Linked DNA regions of Arabidopsis thaliana. The protein of the gene in region 1 purifies or fractionates together with the protein of each later gene. This does not show direct contact. Each region holds a gene or a part of one and is shown in the gene's direction. Other genes may lie near its edges.

Region 1 (6,358 bases):
ATTCTCCTCTCAACCGGAATCAGAGTTACTTCAAGCTTTACCTTCTTCGAAGCCAAAATCTCCGCCACTGCAGCTGCCATGGCTCATTGTTGGTTTGGGTAATCCCGGCAAGAAGTACCAGGGCACGCGCCACAACGTATGTCTCTCTCTTGCTTTCTCACTTTGCATTTTCCTTTTCAGCTCGGTAACGTGATCATGAATTGCAGGTTGGTTTTGAGATGGTGGACGCTTTGGCTGATGCAGAAGGCATCTCCATGAACACTGTTAACTTCAAGGCCTTGTTTGGGAAAGGTTCTCTTTTTCATTCTCTTATCTTCTCCATTGTGAATTTTCATTTTGAAATGGTTTTCTTATCTCAAAGTTTGAAACTTTCAAATTTCATACGTCTCAAATGTTTGATGAGGGTGATAGAAACAATGGCTAACTGTTTCCGGAGAATGAATATTGAAATAAATATCATTTTCTGTCTCTGGTTTGTTTCTAACTTTGGGTATTGTTTTCCTTTATCATAGGCGTTATTGGAAATATACCGATTATGCTGGCTAAACCACAAACTTTCATGAACCTAAGTGGTGAGTCTGTAAGTGAGCTCATCGGAAACAAACTTTGGTTTATTTAGTTAACCAATCTCTTTAACTTTTATCACTTGTTATTTTGATTCTTTCTGTTTATGATTGCTGGAATTCTTTGAAGGTTGGACAAATCGTTTCATTTTACAAGATCCCGTTAAAGCAAGTACTTGTGGTATACTTAACCTTCTCTCTCGCTTACTCTCCAAATTCTGGCTCTAGAGTGCATATGCCGTCTTAATTTTTTTTGTCTTTTTCAGGTTTACGATGATTTAGATTTGCCCTTTGGTAAACTACGTTTATTGCCAAAAGGTGGTCACGGAGGCCACAATGGGTACAATGCTTTTCACTCTCTATCTGGCCTGTTGATGTTTTCATTTGTGTTTTAACTTTTAAGTATTGTCTTACTTTTTACTTAAGAAGCAATGTGGATGGATAATAGTTTGCGGTTTCACTATCAAATCATAGAGAAACTCTACAAGAAAACATGATGGGTTGTTCTTTTACTTGCAGGATGAGAAGTATTATAGACCGCCTCAAAGGTAGCCGTGATTTTCCTCGACTAAGAATAGGTACAGTTCTCATTTTTCTCCACTCCGACATATCTTCCCATTTTCTTCTCTGGTTTTGCAAATTGTCGAATGTTTCATTTCAGGGATCGGACGTCCTCCAGGGAAGATGGATACAGCCAATTTTGTTCTCCGCCAGTTCAATAGACAGGAACAGGAAGAGGTAGAAGCAGATTTATCCCATAATTATCTCAAAAAATTTCAGAAAGACATAACCTGATTGTTTTTGGTTTTGCAGTTGGATCACACATTCCAAACCGGGTTAGAGGCAATAAGGATTCTTTTGCTTGAGGGGTTCAACAAAAGTGCAACATTTGTCAACACTCGAAAATCTATGGAGCAACTCAGTTAGAAGTGACATTGTTACATTACATATATTCATATAACAAACTACAAAGTGTTCTTGCTGATTCATTAATAATTTTTTTTTGGTTCCATACTTGAATCCTTTTTGAGCAAATTGTACATCAAAAGATAACCAGATTATTTGTTTATCATAATTTCTATTATGTAACTCGAAAATATGGATTTCAGTATTTGTTCGGCTGTAATTTAAATTATACACTTTCATTAAGCATAGACATTTTATTTGGCAATAAATCAGCTTCGTTTACTGCAAAAAGGGTGGTCACAAAAGTTGGTTCGGTTTAGAAAAATTGTGTTCGGTTCGGTTAGTTTCTTGAATAATTTAAACCCGACGGATTAAATGAGAGGTTTTGTGGTCCCCACAACTCGAACTCAGTAAAACCAAGTCGACCCGATTCAGCTGGATCCGAGATTACAGAGAACCCCGTCCCGTGTTTAAACCCTCCGGCGACAAAGCTCAGATAGAGAACCGCTCCACCCTTGTCGTTCGCTGCAGCCATGTACGGCGGAGGTGGGTTTCTCTTTAAACCCTTGAATTGCTTTGTCGTTTATCTTTTGAGACATTCCTGAGCTGTTTTTTTCCGTGGTGGGTTTTCACAGATGAAGTGTCAGCTATTGTGGTTGACTTGGGTTCGCACACTTGCAAGGCTGGTTACGCCGGTGAAGATGCTCCCAAGGCCGTTTTCCCTTCCGTAAGTCTTAATTACCAGCATTTTATGTCACTATAAGCTTAATGGTGTTATTGTAGATTTGCTCAAGTCCCTTGTATCTTCAGACTCTTAGTTTTTTTTTTGATGTGTTCATAAGGTTATTGGGGCAGTAGATGGTGTAGAGGCAATGGATGTGGATGTTGATTCTACAAAGACTAATTCGAACTCTGAGGATTCGAAGACCGAGTCTGAAAAGGAAAAGAGCAAACGCAAGCTCTATGTAGGATCTCAAGCCATGAGCTACCGCAGAGATCATATGGAGGTTAGTTTTTCTCCTTGATTAATGTTAAAGTTTATAACTTTGTTGGTGAAATTACAGATTGCATTTTCTCTCACCAGGTTTTGTCACCTATAAAAGATGGCATCGTTTCTGACTGGGATTTGGTGGACAATATATGGGAACATGCTTTCAAGTAAATGTGTAAAGCATTATATTTTCTCTTAATTGTTGTTTGCATTTCATCTCTAAAAAAACTTTGTCTTTTAAGGAGTTGTCTGATGATTGATCCTACGGAGCATCCAATGCTGCTAGCTGAGCCTCCTTTAAACACTCAACAGCAGAGAGAGAAGTATGATTTATCTGCTTTGAAATATCCTTTATTACCACTGTTGCTTTATCTTGGTGTGTTACTGATTTTCTCAAATCATATGCTTGACAGGGCGGCAGAGCTAATGTTTGAAAAGTACAAAGTTCCGGCACTGTTTATGGCTAAGAACCCTGTATATTCCCTCTCCCTTGGGTCATCATTCTTTTTGATAGATTATTATATGACGTTCACTGTAATGTTGATATCCAGTCAGCTCTTGTGTAATCAGATGTCTAACTATCTACATGAATTTGGTGTTTTTGGTGCTAGGTTCTCACGTCTTTTGCTACTGGGCGTGCTACTTCTTTGGTTGTTGACTGGTAAGACTTTAAGTATTAAAAGTTTCTCTAGTATGTAGAAGCTACTAATGTTCCACTTCTGCTCTATATGCTGTGAAAGTCTACCTTGTTCTGTATGGTGTATAATTTGAGAAGCACTGATGACACTTTATTGTATTTCTAGCGGTGGAGGATCCACAACCATTTCACCGGTGCATGATGGTTATGTTCTTCAGAAGGTACTTGTATTACACGATTTAGTAAGAATTCAGCTTTGTGATGCTGTTTCTTTGGGTTTGGATTTTGTACTGCAGGAGAAAGTTTCCCATCTCTCGTTTCCATAGTCATCTGTAGCTGCTATAAATTCTCATCCATGTGAATTATGACCTACAGCATTGATGTAGATTGTGATTCTCCGATTGTTGACCATACTTTTATTCGCAGGCTGTTGTATCGTCTCCACTTGGAGGGGAATTTCTCACTGACTGCCTACTGAAAAGCTTGGAGAGTAAAGGAATTAAAGTAGGTTAAAAAAATTCTTCACTGTTCTTTTCTTTTAAGCCAAATTATCTGAGTGATACTGGTTATTTTTTCTGCAGATAAGACCTAGATACTCTTTCAAGAGGAAGGAAGTACGAGCAGGGGAATTCCAGGTGCATATGTGGATCAGTGAATGAAACTACTAGCAGTGAATAGTCTCTAATTTCCTCCCTTTGAATCCTTGCAGGTTGAAGATGTGGATATTCCTGACACCACGGAAAGCTACAAACTCTTCTGCCAGGTCTGTAATTGATTATGAAACTTCGTTTGAAAATTTCAGTTGTGATAATTTGGTGATTTGTTTCAACAGAGGATGATAGTGGGTGATATCAAGGATTCCATTTGTCGAGTTCCTGATACTCCCTATGACGGTACCTTATGTTATTCTGTCTGTCTCTGGTTTCATAAATTTGTTTTATTTCAAAGTTTAAAGTTGCTTGAGAGTTGAACGTTAGATACTTTTTATCTTTCAATGTCATTTGATCGCATAGCCTTAGTTTTTCTGATGTGATGCATTTATCTGCAGATAAATCATATTCAAACATCCCTACTACGTCGTACGAGCTTCCTGATGGCCAGTAAGCTCAGTTTATATGTCTATTTCGGTTTATTTGTGCCTCAAATGTACATGCTACTGTTGCTTTTGTTTTCTACGTATAAGGTTTGAGCTTAGTTTCTAGCCAAATGTACCACTGCTCTGAACCTTGTTTAAGCTGAGATAAGTGCTTAGTTGGATCTGAGTCATTAAAGCCATTGGGCATAAAAGTTTAGAAGAGTCAGACATTGCTTTGGAAACCTGCATGGAACCTAATGTTCATAATGAGAATTAAGTTAAAAGAAAAAGTGCTAGCTTCATTGAAGACAGGAAGCTGCACCTGTAATTTTTGTAGTCTTTCTCAATATCTTATTAACCATGTCTGTTGAAGGACGCTCGAGATTGGTGCTGATAGGTTCAAAGTTCCTGATGTGATGTTCAACCCGTCCATAGTCCAGGTACACCATTTGAGCACGATAAATTCAACAGAAGATTCTGAAGACATTTTGTTTCTTATCTTGAGCGTTTTGAGCCTCGAATTATTTATCAAAGGTTTCTTCTCCGTTTTTATTGCAATTTGCAGACGATTCCTGGAATGGAGAAGTATGCTGAGATGATTCCTTCCGTTCGTGGGTTACCACACATGGTATATGCATGGTATTTAGTCATTGCAAAGCTTCCATCTCTTAACTTTTTCTAACTTTACTCTCCATTTTACTGACTTGTACAGGTCATGGAGAGCATCAACAAATGTGATGTAGACATCCGGAGAGAGTTGTATAGTAGCATACTGGTAAAATAGCAATCAATGCCAACTCTTAAATACCCCTACTTTTAGTTTCGTTGGATGTGGATGATTAACATTTCCTTTCTTCTCGCATTATGCCAGCTTGCTGGTGGCACATCGTCAATGCAACAGCTGAAAGAACGTCTCGAAAAGGACTTGATCGAAGTATTGTGTCCTAAACTCTTTTCCTCTGTCTTTAAAGCTATCCCAGTTTTTATGATGGCGAAAATCATTCATTGGTCCCTCTATCTTTGTTTCAGGAGTCTCCTCACTCAGCTAGAGTTAAAGTGTTGGCAAGCGGTAACACAACAGAAAGAAGATTCAGGTCTGGATTTAGTGTTCACTTCTTCCTCTATAATGAGACCCAAATTTTTTTGCTTGGATCAACCAACAAACATGTTATGTATGTGCAGTGTATGGATAGGAGGGAGTATATTGGCATCACTAGGCTCATTTCAACAGATGTGGTTCTCCAAGTCTGAGTAAGTCTCTGTTCTGATTTTCCATTAATCAGACTCGCAAAGAAACTATAGTTTGTTTTCTCTCCTGACACTCGGATTTGGGGTCTTGGTGTAAATGGCAGGTATGAGGAACATGGAGCTTCCTACATTCAGAGAAAATGCCCTTAAAGCAGGCAGTTTCAGATTATGTGGAGTCTGACAAGACGAAACTTGGAAACTAATGTGTTATTTTCATTGTGCATCGTTGTTCCTTGAAGATTATTAGTATTCCGCCTGAACCTTTTAGAATGAGTGTCATTAACAAGCATTATAGTGCTATTTTAAAAACATAAAAACATGTGGAAGAAGTTTCGTTGCTTTATTAGATTTTCGCACAATCAAGACCGTCCACGTTTTGTTACTACGAACCAAGATAATCCACAAAATTAACAAGAAAATAACAAATCCGAAACTACAAAAAGCAGCTTCATAAGTTTTCTTTTTCTTTTTTAAAAAAGAAGAAAAAATCAGCTTTATCGTGCCTCTCAAAAAGCTAATGACTTCGAAGTTCCAAAATTCCGGTCTTCGAACATATTTTATAGAATAGCAAAATGTTTTGAACCACAAGATTATTAATAATATAAATAATGTAATTGATATTGGTAAGTAATAATACTTTTATTAATCATAAAATGGTCTGAATAATAATAAAGACAAAATGGACGTAACTTCTCCGCCACTACAGACTTACGTGTCATGTCTCCATATCCGCATGCAAAATCCAATAGATGACACATTCTAAATCATCCAATTATATACGCCCACGTGTCAACCTCTGTCTCGTCTCTCTAAATAACGTTTACCGACCTTCTCTTGTGGACGGTAAGAATCGCCGGCGTCCCCTAATATATCGGATTTCAATCCAAAGACACACTCACAATTTAAAAAAAAACGTTTCTTTTCTCTTCGATTCCCGA
Region 2 (6,575 bases), 1.3 Mb from region 1:
CAAGTACATATCAAGATTGGTTCCTTAGTAAACAATGATCATAACAAATAACTACGCTCATTTGCCAGGGAGCCAAATACTGCATCAGCTTCAGAATTTTCTTAGCTCTTCCAAGGTCAAGTTTCTGGACTTGACGCATCAAGAATGGGTTGTGAAAACGATTCCTCGTAGCTTAGGTAGACACATAGTCATGGCTTCAACGTATCACAGCTAGTTTCATTAACTTCTGCAGACTCATCCAGTTTGTTAATGGGCTGGGAAAACGATTGCAAGAGAGTTTTTTGTGCAGGTAACTCGGCAATGAAAAGCAATGTTTGAGCCCAACCAGCATATTCACCATATTTACTCACAAAGGCTTCTGCAACTCGGCCATGGAGTTTAGGTGTCAGTTTTGCACCAGCAAGGTCTGGCAGTAGATAATTTGTTGCGATCTGATCCATTATCCAAAACAGAACAAAAAAAAAGTTGCCCGAAGTCATCATCACCATTATGTAATTGGATCTCAATTAAGTAAGTACAATACATAGAAACCGATGGACTTTGTTACCTGCCAGACATGTGTGTCAACCGGAATAGCACTATGCTGATCAAGAGAAAACAGAGCTATGCAAGCTGCTACCTTCGGACCAACACCAGGTAATGTACACAGCGCAGCAACTGCCTCTTGGAGTTCGACTTTGCGCAGAGAAAGAAGCCATTCATTACCACCACCTGGCTTTGCTTGCAAAGCATTCACTGTACCTGTTATGTATTTGGCTCTGCTCACCACAAGATAAACCAGAATGAGAGTTTTCAAATGAGATCAGAACCAATCAGAGAAACGGCCACACAATGATTATCTAGCTTAGACCAAACATTAGCTTCAATTCTATGAATGTATAGCCACAGAGTAAATAAAAGTATAAGCTTCAAGCAAAGTTTTAGCCTAAATGTCTAATTCAACATAATGCAACCATTAGAGAGTGATGAAATCACCTGTAACCAAAACCAGCCTTTCTAAACTCTTCCTCAGAAACCCTAGATAATCGATCCAATGATGGGAACTGATGAAACTCAAATCCATCAATGTCACCCAAATGTAACCCTAAAGACGAAACAAAATCCACCATCTTCGTAATCCTCGCAATGTTATTGTTCGATGAGCACAAAAACTGTATCAAGCACTCGAGCGGATCCTGCCTCAACACACGAGCGCCACGGAGATGTCTCGCTAGCTCTCCGAAACGAGGATCTTTTTTCGAGAAATCAGACCATAGCTCAGCTAACGAGATCTCAGCATTGAGAAAATCGAGCAACGCAAGCTCCGCGGATTTAGGGCTTGTGCTACAATGGACGCAGTAGGAAACTGCGTCGTCTCCTGGACGTTGTCTAAGAGAGACTAAGTGAGGCCCAATCGTTCCGCTATACTGAATCGCTCCAGTTTTCTTCCACCGGAATGTTTGACCCGTCGGAAAAGTTAACGGCAACGTCAGCTCCGTGTGGGTTAGTTTTAACGGGAACCATTTAGGTGTTCCTGTTCTGTGTAGCTTCTGTTTGAGAATCGGTGTGACCGGCGGAGACAGTGGTGGTTTGACGGTGGAAGAGATCGACGGCTGAGATGTAGGTCGAGGTCTCTTCATCGCCGTTGCTCGTTAACGGAACCACCACACCAGTATTAATGCGCGACGGTCGACTAATGTATCAATTTAAACCGGTTTAACCAATTTGAACTTTAAGAACCGAACTAAATAATTGATTCGGTTTTTCTCATTCAAAATTGAAAAATAAAACCGAAGTAAAGTTGACTTTAACCGAAGTTAAACCAAAATTTGGATTGGTCAACGAAGCTTGAATTTCGAAATCAGAACCCTCTTGTTTGTCGAGAAGGTTAGGTCGTCGTGGAGAATGAATTAATATATAGAGATTAATGAAGGAAATGGTGAAAGAAATTGCGAGAAAAAGGTTTGGTGTTTAGCTCGAGAGCTGGAAATCAGAACGACTCGGAGGAGAGAAGACAAAGAAAGCAATTCTTTTTACTAAGGGTCTTGCTTCGATTCCACAGAACCCAAAACCTCTATTTCTCTATCTTCATCCACAAAAATGCCAGCTTCTGAAGGTAAATTGCTGTTTCACATCTTTATCTCTCTCAAAATCCAAATTTAAATTGGGATTTGACTTACCCACATAGATCGTAGTGATGGGTATTTCGAGAATTCGTGTGAATTGAATTACACTTTTTACAATTCTGTCGCAGATAGAAGAGGGAAATGGAAAAGGAAGAAGAGAGGGGGGTTATCGGCGGCGAGGAAACCGAAACAAGAGGAGGAAGATATGGAGGAAGAAGACGAAGAGAATAACAACAACAACAACGAAGAAATGGATGACGTTGAAAATGCCGATGAGCTTCAGCAAAACGGCGGCGCAACTCCCGATCCGGGACTTGGTATTGGCGAGGTAGTTGAAGATTCTGGTTCGCGCATCTCTGATTTCCCGGCAGTGGTTAAGCGTGTTGTGATCCGGCCACACGCGTCTGTAATGGCTGTTGTGGCGGCTGAGAGAGCTGGTTTGATAGGGGAGACTAGAGGGCAAGGTTCACTTCCAGCTCTGGAGAACATTTCGTTTGGGCAATTGCAAGCGTTATCTACTGTACCTGCTGATTCTCTTGATCTTGAGAGGAGTGATGGATCGTCTTCGGCTTATGTTATCTCTCCACCACCTATTATGGATGGAGAAGGAGTTGTTAAACGGTTTGGGGATCTGGTTCATGTCTTGCCTATGCATTCAGGTGTGTTTTTTCTTCCTCTTGATACGCGCATTTATGTTAGAGGTTAGGCTTTATGCAGCATCAGCTTTTGCTGGTTGGTAGTATTGTAGTATATATCTTGTGATTGGAATGAGAATTAGTCAAAACAGGTTTGTATGCCGGTATCTCCTTAACGTATAAGTTCTTATCTTCCTTTTGTCTAGTGCCTGGTTCTTAGTTTACATTAATCTGAACGCGACTCAATTTCATATCAGATGTTTCTCTATGTTCCCATGTTCTGTCTGATGGAAAGGAAGAGGTATTATAACTTTTGTACATGATAAATTAGAGTACCTGCTGGCTTGAAGTAGCCTTAGGTGTCTTATCTCAGAAGTACAACTTGAATAGACTATGCAAGTGATGTTCTTCTAATTCGTTTGGGTTTTGTTCCTGGAGTCCTATGGCTCAAATATATCGAGATTCTCCTCTTATTTTATTTTTATTTTCTGATATTTTTGTTCCCAATGCTCGAATTTATTCTTCTACTTTTGCTGTTACATTTGAGCAGATTGGTTTGCACCAAACACAGTAGATCGACTTGAAAGGCAAGTGGTGCCACAGTTTTTCTCTGGGAAATCGCCAAATCATACACCCGAAAGTTATATGGAATTCAGGAACGCCATTGTTTCCAAATATGTAGAGAACCCTGAAAAGACACTGACGATTTCTGATTGCCAAGGATTGGTAGATGGTGTTGACATTGAAGATTTTGCACGAGTTTTCCGTTTTCTTGATCACTGGGGAATAATCAATTACTGTGCCACTGCCCAGTCACATCCTGGCCCTTTGAGAGATGTATCGGATGTGAGGGAGGACACAAATGGCGAGGTCAATGTGCCGTCTGCTGCTTTAACATCTATTGATAGTTTGATCAAATTTGACAAGCCCAACTGTAGACACAAGGGGGGTGAAGTCTATTCATCCTTGCCAAGTTTGGATGGTGACAGCCCTGACTTGGACATCAGAATTCGTGAACACCTATGTGATAGTCATTGCAACCATTGTTCTCGACCGCTTCCAACTGTGTACTTCCAATCGCAAAAGAAGGTTCTTAGGCTGCTTCCCCTTACGTACTGTTCTTTGTGTATCATTATCTGATTCTTTTTTGCACCCAGTGATGTAATAGACTCCAAGCTTTATCTTGCTTACTGTCTCGGATACTGGACCGCTTCTAACTAAAGGATCTTCATCTCTACTTTACAGGGGGATATACTCTTATGCTGTGATTGTTTTCACCATGGAAGATTTGTTGTTGGACATTCTTGTCTTGACTTTGTAAGAGTGGATCCAATGAAATTTTATGGCGATCAAGATGGAGACAATTGGACTGATCAGGAAACTCTCTTGCTTCTTGAAGCTGTGGAACTCTACAATGAAAATTGGGTTCAAATTGCTGATCATGTTGGTTCCAAGTCAAAAGCTCAATGCATTCTTCATTTTCTTCGATTACCTGTGGAGGATGGTCTATTAGATAATGTTGAGGTTTCTGGTGTAACTAATACGGAAAACCCTACAAATGGATATGACCACAAAGGAACAGATTCAAATGGGGATTTACCTGGTGATTTTGTTTTATTCAATTTGTAGCAATGAATTACTTTCCATAGTTATTTCCTTTGACATGCCATACTAATTGTCCGCTTGCGTCTGCAGGATATTCCGAGCAAGGTTCTGACACTGAGATCAAGCTTCCATTTGTGAAGTCTCCGAATCCGGTTATGGCATTGGTTTGTGAACTTTTTTCCGATGCAGATTTCATATGCGCTTCTTATTATCCTTATGATCTCACCAGTTAGAGATATCTCTGATCCATGAATCGATTATATCTGAGAGCTCAATTGTATGCATATTTTGAGTGGAGAATGGTCCTGTATTGCACATAAGTTTGGAGATATGAGGATCCTGATACCAAAATATTTTAGGTTGCATTTTTGGCATCAGCTGTTGGACCTCGAGTTGCTGCGTCCTGTGCCCATGAATCCCTCTCGGTTTTATCTGAGGACGATAGGTTAGTGTATTATATAGTCTCTATCCAATATAAATTCTCTGTAGTGTGATTCAGTTTAATAATACTATGGACTATTCTGAAACTTCTTGATCTAGGATGAAATCTGAGGGAATGCAAGGGAAAGAAGCCAGCTTGCTTGATGGAGAAAATCAACAGCAAGATGGTAAGGAAGTTATTTGATTGTTCTCTTTACAGTGATTCTTTGCTCTTTTGTTTTAACCTAATCTGCGACACCAACATGCTTTAATTGTAAAAAAAACTCAGGAGCACACAAAACATCAAGCCAAAACGGAGCAGAAGCGCAGACTCCACTGCCACAGGATAAGGTTATGGCAGCATTTAGAGCCGGTCTATCAGCTGCAGCAACAAAAGCAAAATTGTTTGCTGATCATGAGGAACGCGAAATCCAGAGACTTTCTGCTAATATCGTTAATCACCAGGTAAAATAGCAGAACCAGTTGCTGATGAGAATTACTGTAGGTAGTTGATTTATTTTGTTGTATAGTGTTTATTGCTGATCTGAGTAAAAACCGCAGCTGAAGAGGATGGAGCTGAAATTAAAGCAGTTCGCAGAAATTGAAACACTGTTGATGAAAGAATGCGAACAAGTAGAGAAAACCCGTCAGAGATTTTCTGCAGAACGGGCTCGTATGCTCTCAGCAAGATTTGGATCTCCTGGAGGAATCTCTCCACAGACTAATAATCTCCAAGGCATGTCTCTATCCACAGGTGGTAACAACATCAATTCTCTCATGCATCAGCAACATCAGCAACAACAAGCTTCCGCAACTTCTCAACCAAGCATAATCCCAGGATTCAGCAACAACCCGCAAGTTCAAGCACAGATGCATTTCATGGCACGACAACAACAACAACAACAACAACAACAACAACAACAACAGCAAGCTTTCTCGTTTGGCCCGAGATTACCTCTCAATGCAATACAGACCAATGCAGGATCAACAGCTTCACCAAACGTCATGTTTGGCAACAACCAACTAAATAACCCTGCAGCAGCTGGAGCAGCATCGATCAACCAGCCTTCGTTTAGTCACCCGATGGTTAGGTCTTCCACAGGTTCAGGCTCAGGGTCCGGCTTAGGCTTAAACTAAGATCCATCTTTCTCTAGCTTATTTAGCTTATCAGTATCCATATTTATTTCACCTTGTTATTTTTAAAGATAAGTTATTTGGCTTTGAGACCGTAGTCTTGTTCCAAGTTAGTGTCTTGTAGTATCAAACCATCATCATCATCATTGTGAATTAAAACAGTCACCAATCTTAATGTCTCTCTTTCCCACAACCATTTCTCTACTCTTCAAACATTAGGGGTCTTTTAACTCGATTCATTTTGACGATAATATATAGACAATTTCATTACAAATCTACATGTAACATATTCGTTCTTGTCGCAATGAAAAACTCAAAATCATTTTTATTTGATTAATCTCTAAGATGTTTTTTTTTTTTTAAGCCTAACCATTTAACCAAGGCGGGAACGAGCTATCATTAACATGGTTTTTTTCTCATAAGAGCTTAAATCCGAATCAGTCCGTTTTAGCGGCGAACCACGGCGAGAAGAGAAGGACGATTTCGGCGAACTCCACCTCGAAGATACCGGCGATCCCTGGCTAGAATCTTCTTCCGACGGAGAAAGCGTTGTTCCCGATTCATAGAAATTGTCAGACTCCGATGTTGTTGATGATGGTTCCTGCTGACCGGTCTTTTTTAAATCGCCGCTCTTACTCTTTTTCAACCCAAATAATGACTTGGGAAAAAAACACCG
Region 3 (4,974 bases), on another chromosome or scaffold:
ACATGGGTTTCGATTTCCTCTCGGTGGTAACACCATCATTGCTTATCTGCTTTGGATTTAGCTTTTGATAGATTTGGTAGTTGATATAGCTTATGAATCCATCTAGAAATTTGCGTAGAGAGCAATGTCACAAATGTTCTGTGGTTACTTTATCAATCTAATCACGCCACGATTTGGTTTTAGGCCCCGAAGAAAGGAGTGAAGGTAGCTGCTAAGAAGAAGACCGCGGTATGTTTCATTTCCAATTCTCTTCTTCTTTTTTAGGTTTTCGAACATTCAATTTGTTCTTTGTTGTTGTTTTTTTCTTTCTTGCTGAAGTTTTGTGTTTTGATTTCTGATTTCTCCAGGAGAAAGTTTCAAACCCTCTATTCGAGAGGAGGCCTAAGCAATTCGGTATTGGTGGAGCTTTACCTCCTAAGAAGGATCTCTCTCGCTACATCAAATGGCCCAAATCCATCCGTCTTCAAAGGCAAAAGAGGATCCTGAAGCAGAGGTTGAAGGTCCCTCCAGCTCTTAACCAATTCACCAAGACTCTTGACAAGAATCTTGGTATGTCTATTTCATTCTCAATCTACTCTTCAAACATTTACTACTTGCTGCTGTTAATTTATTATTGAAATATTTACCAGTTCTGGTAAATCTTGTGTTGCTGTAACCTTATAAGAAGACTTCGGTGCCTTATTTATATTCGTTATTGATAATTGCAGCTACCAGCCTCTTCAAGGTCCTTCTGAAGTACAGGCCAGAAGACAAAGCTGCCAAGAAGGAGCGTCTTGTAAAGAAGGCCCAAGCTGAAGCTGAGGGAAAGCCTTCTGAGTCTAAGAAGCCCATTGTAGTCAAATACGGCCTCAACCATGTGACCTACCTCATTGAGCAGAACAAGGCCCAACTTGTTGTTATTGCTCATGATGTCGACCCAATTGAGTTGGTTGTCTGGTTGCCTGCTCTGTGCAGGAAGATGGAAGTCCCGTACTGCATTGTCAAGGGCAAATCTCGTCTTGGAGCGGTATGTGTTGTGGGTGATTTCTCTCTAGTTTATAGCCACTAGCATGGAGAGTTAATCTTTATTTCTTTCTCTGACTTTCAGGTTGTTCACCAGAAGACTGCTTCTTGCTTGTGTTTGACCACTGTCAAGAACGAGGACAAGCTAGAGTTCAGCAAAATCCTGGAAGCTATCAAGGTAAATACTTCTTGTGACCAATAGAATGGTAGATTGTGTGAAACATATTGTTGGAGATTCTTATGATTGTGTTTTTGGGTTTTTGTCTATAGGCCAACTTCAATGACAAGTACGAGGAGTACAGGAAGAAATGGGGAGGAGGCATAATGGGATCTAAGTCTCAGGCAAAGACCAAGGCAAAGGAAAGAGTTATTGCAAAGGAGGCTGCCCAAAGGATGAATTAAGAGGCTAGCTTCTTTTGTTTGTGGTTTGCTCGGATTCGTAAAACTTAATAGAGCTTTTTGTTTAGCTGGTTCTTGAAGTACCTCTTTTTTAGTTGAACCCTTTATTATGGATGTTTTGCAATTTCTTGGGACAGTTTCAATGTTATTCAAGCTGCTGGATCCTCTTTGGTCTCTCAACCACTTAAAACTTGACAGTGTGAAATTTTAGCCAAATGCTTATTGCATTCTGGAAAGAGTTATAAGTTTAATTCTCAAATTCTTTTACAGTTCATCTCATAATGATGTGCGTAATTTTTGGTCTTTATGGTTCGATGTTGGAGCAACCATATCCCTAACAACTAGAGTTATATAAGTTCATTAAAATTTGTAGCTGAAGACCAAAAAGTTAATAGTAATAAGTGGGCTTGACGAAATAAAGTTAACAACAAGTGGGCTGATAACTAGATAACAAAGTGGGCTGATAAAATAAAGATTGGGCCCAGATTTTAAATTGAGTTTTATTATAATTGACCCAGCTTCGGGCAAGTTTTCGCTTTTGACCCTTAACTAATTATTCTCCGTGTGGTTTGGATTTGGCGATTGGCAATAGATTCATCAGAGGTTTTTGATATTGGAGGGAATCGGTAACGGGCATGGAAGCCACTGATCCAAGCGCAGAGATCGAGCTCTACACCATTCCTGCTCAATCCAGTATGTCTTCTCTTACCCTCGCCATGCTTTTAGATCTCTAGGGTTTCTTCTTCTACTCTTTTTACTCGCTCAACTGTTTCCGTCTCTTAGGTTTCTGCTTTCTATGGTTTGTTTTCTTTGCAATTGATTTGGGGATTTGTCTTGTTCTTTACAAGGTTGGTTCTTATGGGATGATATACACGAAATTGAAAGACGCGAGTTTGCGGAGTTCTTCACTGAGAGCTCAATCACTAGAACCCCCAAAGTTTACAAGGAGTACCGAGATTTCATTATCAATAAGTTTAGAGAGGACACTTGTCGGAGACTCACCTTCACCAGTGTCCGCAAGTTTCTTGTTGGCGATGTCAATTTGCTCCAGAAAGTTTTTCTCTTCCTCGAAAAATGGGGATTGATCAATTTTAGCTCTTCCCTGAAGAAAAATGACCATCTATTGTCCGTGGATAATGCTAAAATAGAACAAGGGACTCCTGCTGGAATTCGAGTTACTGCAACCCCTAATTCTCTTAGGCCTATAACCGCACCGCCCCTTGTTGAGGAAAGAGTTGAGACTGGCATCAAAGTACCACCGCTTACCTCTTATTCAGATGTTTTCAGTGATTTGAAGAAGCCGGATCATGTATTGGTTTGTGCGCATTGTGGAGAACGTTGCGATTCTCCTTTCTATCAACATAACAAGGTAGTTTTTTTTTGCTTTTTTTCGATTAGCATATTTCATACTCTCTAGTCTGTTTTGTTTATGCTTCTTTTTTTTTTGACATATGATGTTGGCAGGGTATAGTCAACATATGCGAAAAGTGTTTCAAGAATGGAAACTATGGGGAGAACAACACTGCAGATGATTTTAAGTTGATTGGGAATTCAGCTGCAGCTGTGTGGACAGAGGAAGAGATCCTCCTCTTGCTAGAATCTGTGCTGAAACATGGAGATGATTGGGAACTCATTTCACAAAGTGTTTCTACCAAGAGTAGACTAGATTGCATTTCTAAACTCATTGAGCTCCCGTTTGGAGAGTTTCTGATGGGTTCTGCTTCTGGAAGACTCAATCCCTCTATCCTCACCGAGGATGAAAACACGGAACAGGTGCAAACTGATGGGCAGGAACATGAGGAAACAGAGACAAGGGAAGAAAAAGAAGATCGCGTGAATGAAGATGAGCCTCCAGCAAAAAGGAAACGTGTTGCACTGATATCAGAGGGTGATAGTTCACTTATGAAACAGGTGAATGTTTGGTTAAACTATATGCCTTGTGTTCATTATTTTCCATATGAGTGTAACATTCGGGTTCTTCTCTGACCTTTAACCGTCGCAAAGAATGCCCTTTTTAACTCCACTGGAAAAGAATGTTCAAGAGATAACATGTTTACATATTGCACAACAGGTCGCTGCCATGGCAAGTAAAGTTGGTCCATCTGTCGCAACTGCTGCTGCAAAAGCTGCACTTGCAGCTCTTTGTGATGAAGCCTCATGTCCAAAAGAGATTTTTGACACTGATGACTACAGCAATTTCACAGTTGATAGGTTCGATTCTCTAAGCCCTCAATTTGCTTGTGGTTTGGCTTCTCATGTCCTACACTAATCTCAAGATACAAAACTTTGCTCACAGAGCCAATGGAGAGAAAGATACAGATATGGAGGAACAGCAAGAAGAGAAAGGTAAATTGTGTTGTGATTCAATCTGCATTCCTAGGTTTATAATGAAAGCTCAAGGCTTAAGATTTGGAATCGTTATATATTTGCAGACGGGCCTCAGGGTCTACCTGTAGCGTTAAGGATAAGAGCGTCTGTGGCAACAGCTCTAGGAGCTGCGGCTGCACAAGCGAAAATACTGGCTGATCAAGAAGAAAGAGAAATGGAACAGTTAGCTGCGACAGTAATAGAACAACAGGTTGGTTGTAACTTGTAACAACATTAAAACATTTGTGTCTGTTCCACTGTGTTTGTGTCTTGAACCGGACATGTTTTGCTTCTCTTTGTTGTACTCAGCTGAAGAAACTGCAGAGCAAGTTGAAGTTTCTAGACGACTTGGAATCGATAATGGATGAAGAAGAGAAAGTGATAGAGGGTGTAAAGGAAACAATCATCCAAGAGAGGGTTAGCGTTTTGCAATGCGCGTTTAGAAGCGGTATTACCAAACGTTGGGATCATACGTACGTGAAATGATCTTCTTCTTTCATTCGTACTTTTTTTTTCTCTTGGGGTAGAGTTGTTTTCTCATTCCTTATGGATTTGTTATGTTGACTTTTGAGGATTATATGTATTTAGTATTAATGTGTTTTATTGACTTAATGAGGAGAGTAGGTTTAGGTTACATACCTCTTTTGTCGATATGTCTGACCAATGGATGGGTCTCTCTACTAATTCACACGCGCCCAGTGTGACGTCAAATAAATAAAATTCCGAAAACATTTTCTGAGCTTTCCATAATTTGGAAAAAAGTGAATTGAAAAAAAGAACAGTGACACTCTTGTTTCTATAAATTGGTGAGACCGTCCTCAAAACCCCTTCGTCACCTTCAGTGTCTCTCTCTCAAGATCTAGCTCCGGTCATGAAGTCGTCGGAATTCCAATACCACGAGGTTCTCTCTCTCTCTCCCTCTCTCTGCTTAGAGATTTTAGATGTAGTAGTAATAGTTTAACAGGAGAGTGAAGATGTCAAGAGGTGTTGAGATGATTGATTAGATCTTTGAATAAACAAATATGTGTATGAATTGGTGACAGGAATACGTGAGAAATTCAAGAGGTGTAGAGTTGTTCGCATGTAGATGGATCCCATCTTCTTCGTCTTCTCCCAAAGCTCTGGTTTTCCTCTGCCATGGTTGCAGTTATTTCCTTATTATTTCTAAAAGCCGCTTTCTTCATTACACATAATAAAACTGAACAA
Region 4 (3,985 bases), on another chromosome or scaffold:
TGACGTATGGATTCAATGATACCAAGAGTTTTTGCTTGTAACGCCCAAGATTTTCGAAACCTACAATCTAGGATCTAAATAGTGTACCTCCAGTTATAAATTATATTTGTCGCTCTAGATAAGTTAGAGTAATGGCCAAATCTCGATAACAATTTATTTGTGATCTCCTCACATGAATTTCTTTGGAACCAAATTAATCCCAAACGATAGGATTCAATAATCAGTTAAAGTTTTGTAGTATTCGATAGTGGGTTAGAGTAATGTAGTGATGCAAACAAGAGTGCTAATCTATTGGGTCTATACATTGGATCAAATTTAATATATGGGCCGAACTATCATACCAAGCGTCATGCTTTGAAGAAAGTAGTTGAACCAAGCCATTATACCCTTTTAACTACTAACTAACCCATCTCAAATATCCAGATTTAAATTGGTGTCCATATTATATGAAATAAGTTAAGACTGATTTGCCAACAAGGCAACAACACCTTAATAAATTTAAACATCTAACTGAAAGAAATGTATTTAATCATCCAACTAGGTACATTTAAGAATAGATCACATTCATAATTTTGTTATTATCATTTACAACAGTCATCATGGATTTGTCTTCTCTTTGATCCTGTCTTAGTGTCTTGAAATCTTTGAGCATTTCTTCTTCTTCGTCTCTTATAATATATTTAAAAGGTTATATATTTACATATATACAACTTTGATTTCGATACTCTTGAGAATCCAATAATGAAAGCGAAAGTCATAGAGAAAGAGAACTGCTTCGTATGGTTGGTTAAGGCTCCTTTTCGTCTGTTGATCATGGCACGTGACGCCTACATACGAAGCATTACGTCATGCTCCGGCGCCGGAATTTATTCCGGTGGTGGATCATCTGGTTTTGGTCAACTCTCCGGAAACTTCCAAATCTGCGATCCGCCTAGCACCGCCCTTCCTCGAAGCTTTACCTTGACGTCGGCGGCACATGATCAAGGCTGTCTGACACGTGGCGGACAACCTACGATTGCAATGAGACAATCATTGTCCTTGGATCATCGGAAGAACAATAGATGCGTTGTTGTGATGGGAAGAATAGATGAGGAGATGTCTTGTGATGATGATGATGAGTTTCAAGAAGAAGACTCTTTTCTTGATTATGGTAATTGCGAGATTCTTACAAAAGAAATAGAAAAACCATCTGTTGACCAAAAACATAAGCCTCTAGGACGATTTTGATTTTGATTTTTAGGTTTATTATTAGGTTGTTGCATTGTGCTTATTGAGAAATATGGATCAAACACTTGAAAAGAAAAATCATTTTGTATCATTTAATATTATTTCTTGTATTACTTATAATTGATGTTAAAAAAAATTACATACGATTCTAAAAGTGGTGATGCAAATAATTCACATTGTTTTGTTAACAACCAATGCAGTTCTACATGATTTTAATATCATGAGTAATTTCTAAAAACAAATTACAACAAAAATTAATTTCTTTTAACCACAATAACTTCACAAAATTACAAACATAAAATACAAATTCAAAACCACAAGCACAAAAAATAATAATTTAGAAAGTTTATCAATTACTATTTTTGCTGTAAGAAAAAAAGTTTCTCAATTTTATTTTTGTCTGCAATATCTTTACAGATTCCAAAACAAAACAAAAAAACTATCTTTTTATTTATATATATATATATATATATATATATATAAATGTAAACTTCCTCATAAGTAAATTAACAAGAATATATATCAAACAAAATCTTGTAATTTTTTAATATAAATAAAGCTAAACCTTTACGAAGAAGAAAGACTCTGGTGATTGATTCTCCAAAGTCTAAACCTAGTAAAAGCCAAGTCTCATTCCTCGGGTGAACTCAACAACCGACGATGGCAGAACTAAGGTTATCAGAAACTCGAGACTTAACTAGGATCGAAAGAATCGGAGCACACTCACACATACGAGGTTTAGGTCTCGACTCAGTACTCGAGCCACGAGCCGTATCCGAAGGAATGGTTGGTCAAATCAAAGCACGTAAAGCCGCCGGAGTAACCCTCGAGTTGATCAGAGACGGCAAAATCTCGGGTCGGGCTATACTTATAGCGGGTCAACCCGGAACGGGTAAAATCGCAATAGCAATGGGTATAGCAAAATCACTTGGACAAGAAACACCATTCACTATGATTGCAGGAAGTGAGATCTTTTCTTTAGAGATGTCAAAGACTGAAGCTTTAACTCAAGCTTTTCGTAAAGCTATTGGTGTTAGGATCAAAGAAGAGACTGACGTGATAGAAGGAGAAGTTGTGACGATTTCGATTGATAGACCTGCTTCTTCTGGTGGTTCTGTGAAGAAGACTGGGAAGATAACAATGAAGACGACTGATATGGAATCTAATTTTGATTTGGGATGGAAATTGATTGAGCCATTGGATAAGGAGAAAGTACAGAGTGGTGATGTTATTGTTTTGGATAGGTTTTGTGGGAAGATTACTAAGCTTGGAAGATCTTTTACGAGGTCTAGAGATTTTGATGTTATGGGTTCAAAGACTAAGTTTGTGCAGTGCCCTGAAGGTGAGCTTGAGAAGAGGAAGGAGGTTTTGCATTCTGTCACACTTCATGAGATTGATGTTATTAATAGCAGGTTTGTTTCTTGATCTTGTTCTGTATTTGTCAATTGCTTAGTTTTAGGTTTAGGTTAAAAAGATTGCTTCTTTTTCACGTATTGATGCTTTTTCAAGTTCTTATTTGGATTCTTGTTTTCTTTCTGTTGTTTGCAGGACTCAAGGGTATCTAGCCCTCTTCACAGGTGATACAGGCGAGATTCGTTCAGAAACCCGAGAGCAAAGCGATACTAAAGTGGCAGAGTGGAGAGAAGAAGGGAAAGCTGAAATAGTACCTGGTGTTCTCTTCATTGATGAAGTCCATATGCTTGATATCGAATGCTTCTCTTTCCTGAATAGAGCTCTCGAAAACGATATGTCACCAATCCTGGTCGTGGCTACAAACAGAGGAATGACAACAATCCGAGGAACAAACCAGATATCAGCACATGGGATCCCAATCGATTTTCTTGACCGTCTTCTTATTATCACAACACAGCCTTACACACAAGACGAGATCAGAAATATTTTAGAGATCCGTTGCCAAGAAGAGGATGTGGAGATGAACGAGGAAGCGAAACAGCTTCTGACTTTGATCGGATGTAATACCTCGCTTAGGTACGCGATTCATCTAATCAATGCAGCTGCCCTAGCTTGCCTGAAACGTAAAGGGAAAGTCGTAGAGATTCAGGACATTGAGAGAGTTTATAGATTGTTTTTAGACACCAAGAGATCGATGCAGTACTTGGTTGAGCATGAGAGCGAGTACTTGTTTAGCGTGCCTATAAAAAACACACAGGAGGCTACTGCAGGAGAAGAAACAGAACACGAGGCCATGGAAGTTTGAGAATTTTGTTTTATTGCTTTTTCAAGAACTTATTTTTTCACCCCATTTTGTCATGGACTCATGGGACATGGTTGAACAAAAGATGGAATTTTTCAAGTTTTCGAGTTCTCATTGAGAGATAGACAACGTTTTGTACTGTGTTTTTGACGGAGCGATAAGATGGTATGACAAAAAGGTAAGATTGTGGAGACGTTTGAAGGGTTAATTGGTAAGGCTACCTAAGTTCTCACCTAATGTTTGTATTCAATTGGCTGATTATGGTGGAAAGATGGCGGTTTTGTGGGTCGAACAATCTCCTTGTAGTAACAACGGCTATAAGAATAAGATTTGGTGCGCGGAGATTGCTCTTGAAAAACAAGAAAGTTGTGAAATTTGGGGAGAAGTTGAGTGGTTTGGTCATGTGCTTACAGTTCCTTCAACATGTTTTGTTGCCAAGGTTATTGCTGCTACTGTTTGATGATGAATGAATGTGTCACAAAGCTTAAATATGTTTTTTTTTGGTGTATGCAGATATGATGATGACATGGCTTAATTTTGTCT

Evidence for each region.
Region 2: the proteins of ARP4 (region 1) and SWI3C purify together in Arabidopsis thaliana (affinity purification with mass spectrometry; 2 studies listed by BioGRID, with this or other methods). This does not show direct contact.
Region 3: the proteins of ARP4 (region 1) and SWI3A purify together in Arabidopsis thaliana (affinity purification with mass spectrometry; 2 studies listed by BioGRID, with this or other methods). This does not show direct contact.
Region 4: the proteins of ARP4 (region 1) and AT3G49830 purify together in Arabidopsis thaliana (affinity purification with mass spectrometry; 2 studies listed by BioGRID, with this or other methods). This does not show direct contact.

Annotation. Positions count from the first base shown.
Region 1 is NC_003070.9:6,346,197-6,352,554, forward strand, and holds ARP4 (actin-related protein 4), read left to right. Parts: upstream 1-1,851; 5' UTR 1,852-2,002; coding exon 2,003-2,015; intron 2,016-2,104; coding exon 2,105-2,196; intron 2,197-2,311; coding exon 2,312-2,476; intron 2,477-2,553; coding exon 2,554-2,627; intron 2,628-2,702; coding exon 2,703-2,783; intron 2,784-2,873; coding exon 2,874-2,934; intron 2,935-3,071; coding exon 3,072-3,121; intron 3,122-3,263; coding exon 3,264-3,318; intron 3,319-3,523; coding exon 3,524-3,601; intron 3,602-3,678; coding exon 3,679-3,732; intron 3,733-3,806; coding exon 3,807-3,860; intron 3,861-3,929; coding exon 3,930-3,990; intron 3,991-4,145; coding exon 4,146-4,197; intron 4,198-4,545; coding exon 4,546-4,612; intron 4,613-4,737; coding exon 4,738-4,800; intron 4,801-4,884; coding exon 4,885-4,947; intron 4,948-5,043; coding exon 5,044-5,106; intron 5,107-5,201; coding exon 5,202-5,266; intron 5,267-5,354; coding exon 5,355-5,423; intron 5,424-5,524; and 3 more. Other genes in the region: AT1G18440 (Peptidyl-tRNA hydrolase family protein), read left to right, coding at 1-136, 207-291, 513-580, 694-744, 830-903, 1,083-1,141, 1,225-1,301, 1,377-1,490. UniProt on the Arabidopsis thaliana protein: Involved in several developmental processes including organization of plant organs, flowering time, anther development, flower senescence and fertility, probably by regulating the chromatin structure.
Region 2 is NC_003070.9:7,619,483-7,626,057, reverse strand, and holds SWI3C (SWITCH/sucrose nonfermenting 3C), read left to right. Parts: upstream 1-1,891; 5' UTR 1,892-2,079; coding exon 2,080-2,095; intron 2,096-2,233; coding exon 2,234-2,764; intron 2,765-3,290; coding exon 3,291-3,829; intron 3,830-3,985; coding exon 3,986-4,343; intron 4,344-4,435; coding exon 4,436-4,509; intron 4,510-4,704; coding exon 4,705-4,790; intron 4,791-4,885; coding exon 4,886-4,953; intron 4,954-5,054; coding exon 5,055-5,230; intron 5,231-5,326; coding exon 5,327-5,902; 3' UTR 5,903-6,057; downstream 6,058-6,575. Other genes in the region: OGG1 (8-oxoguanine-DNA glycosylase 1), read right to left, coding at 189-431, 548-758, 976-1,619; AT1G21695 (hydroxyproline-rich glycoprotein family protein), read right to left, coding at 6,273-6,575. UniProt on the Arabidopsis thaliana protein: Component of a multiprotein complex equivalent of the SWI/SNF complex, an ATP-dependent chromatin-remodeling complex, which is required for the positive and negative regulation of gene expression of a large number of genes.
Region 3 is NC_003071.7:19,529,998-19,534,971, forward strand, and holds SWI3A (SWITCH/sucrose nonfermenting 3A), read left to right. Parts: upstream 1-1,949; 5' UTR 1,950-2,036; coding exon 2,037-2,094; intron 2,095-2,249; coding exon 2,250-2,770; intron 2,771-2,865; coding exon 2,866-3,312; intron 3,313-3,472; coding exon 3,473-3,612; coding exon of another isoform or gene 3,613-3,670; exon of another isoform or gene 3,671-3,697; coding exon 3,698-3,747; intron 3,748-3,833; coding exon 3,834-3,979; intron 3,980-4,077; coding exon 4,078-4,254; 3' UTR 4,255-4,474; downstream 4,475-4,974. Other genes in the region: AT2G47610 (Ribosomal protein L7Ae/L30e/S12e/Gadd45 family protein), read left to right, coding at 184-228, 348-549, 708-1,006, 1,088-1,180, 1,273-1,404; AT2G47630 (alpha/beta-Hydrolases superfamily protein), read left to right, coding at 4,640-4,669, 4,812-4,908. UniProt on the Arabidopsis thaliana protein: Component of a multiprotein complex equivalent of the SWI/SNF complex, an ATP-dependent chromatin-remodeling complex, which is required for the positive and negative regulation of gene expression of a large number of genes.
Region 4 is NC_003074.8:18,480,496-18,484,480, forward strand, and holds AT3G49830 (P-loop containing nucleoside triphosphate hydrolases superfamily protein), read left to right. Parts: upstream 1-1,753; 5' UTR 1,754-1,887; coding exon 1,888-2,639; intron 2,640-2,775; coding exon 2,776-3,445; 3' UTR 3,446-3,485; downstream 3,486-3,985. Other genes in the region: AT3G49820 (uncharacterized protein), read left to right, coding at 742-1,227.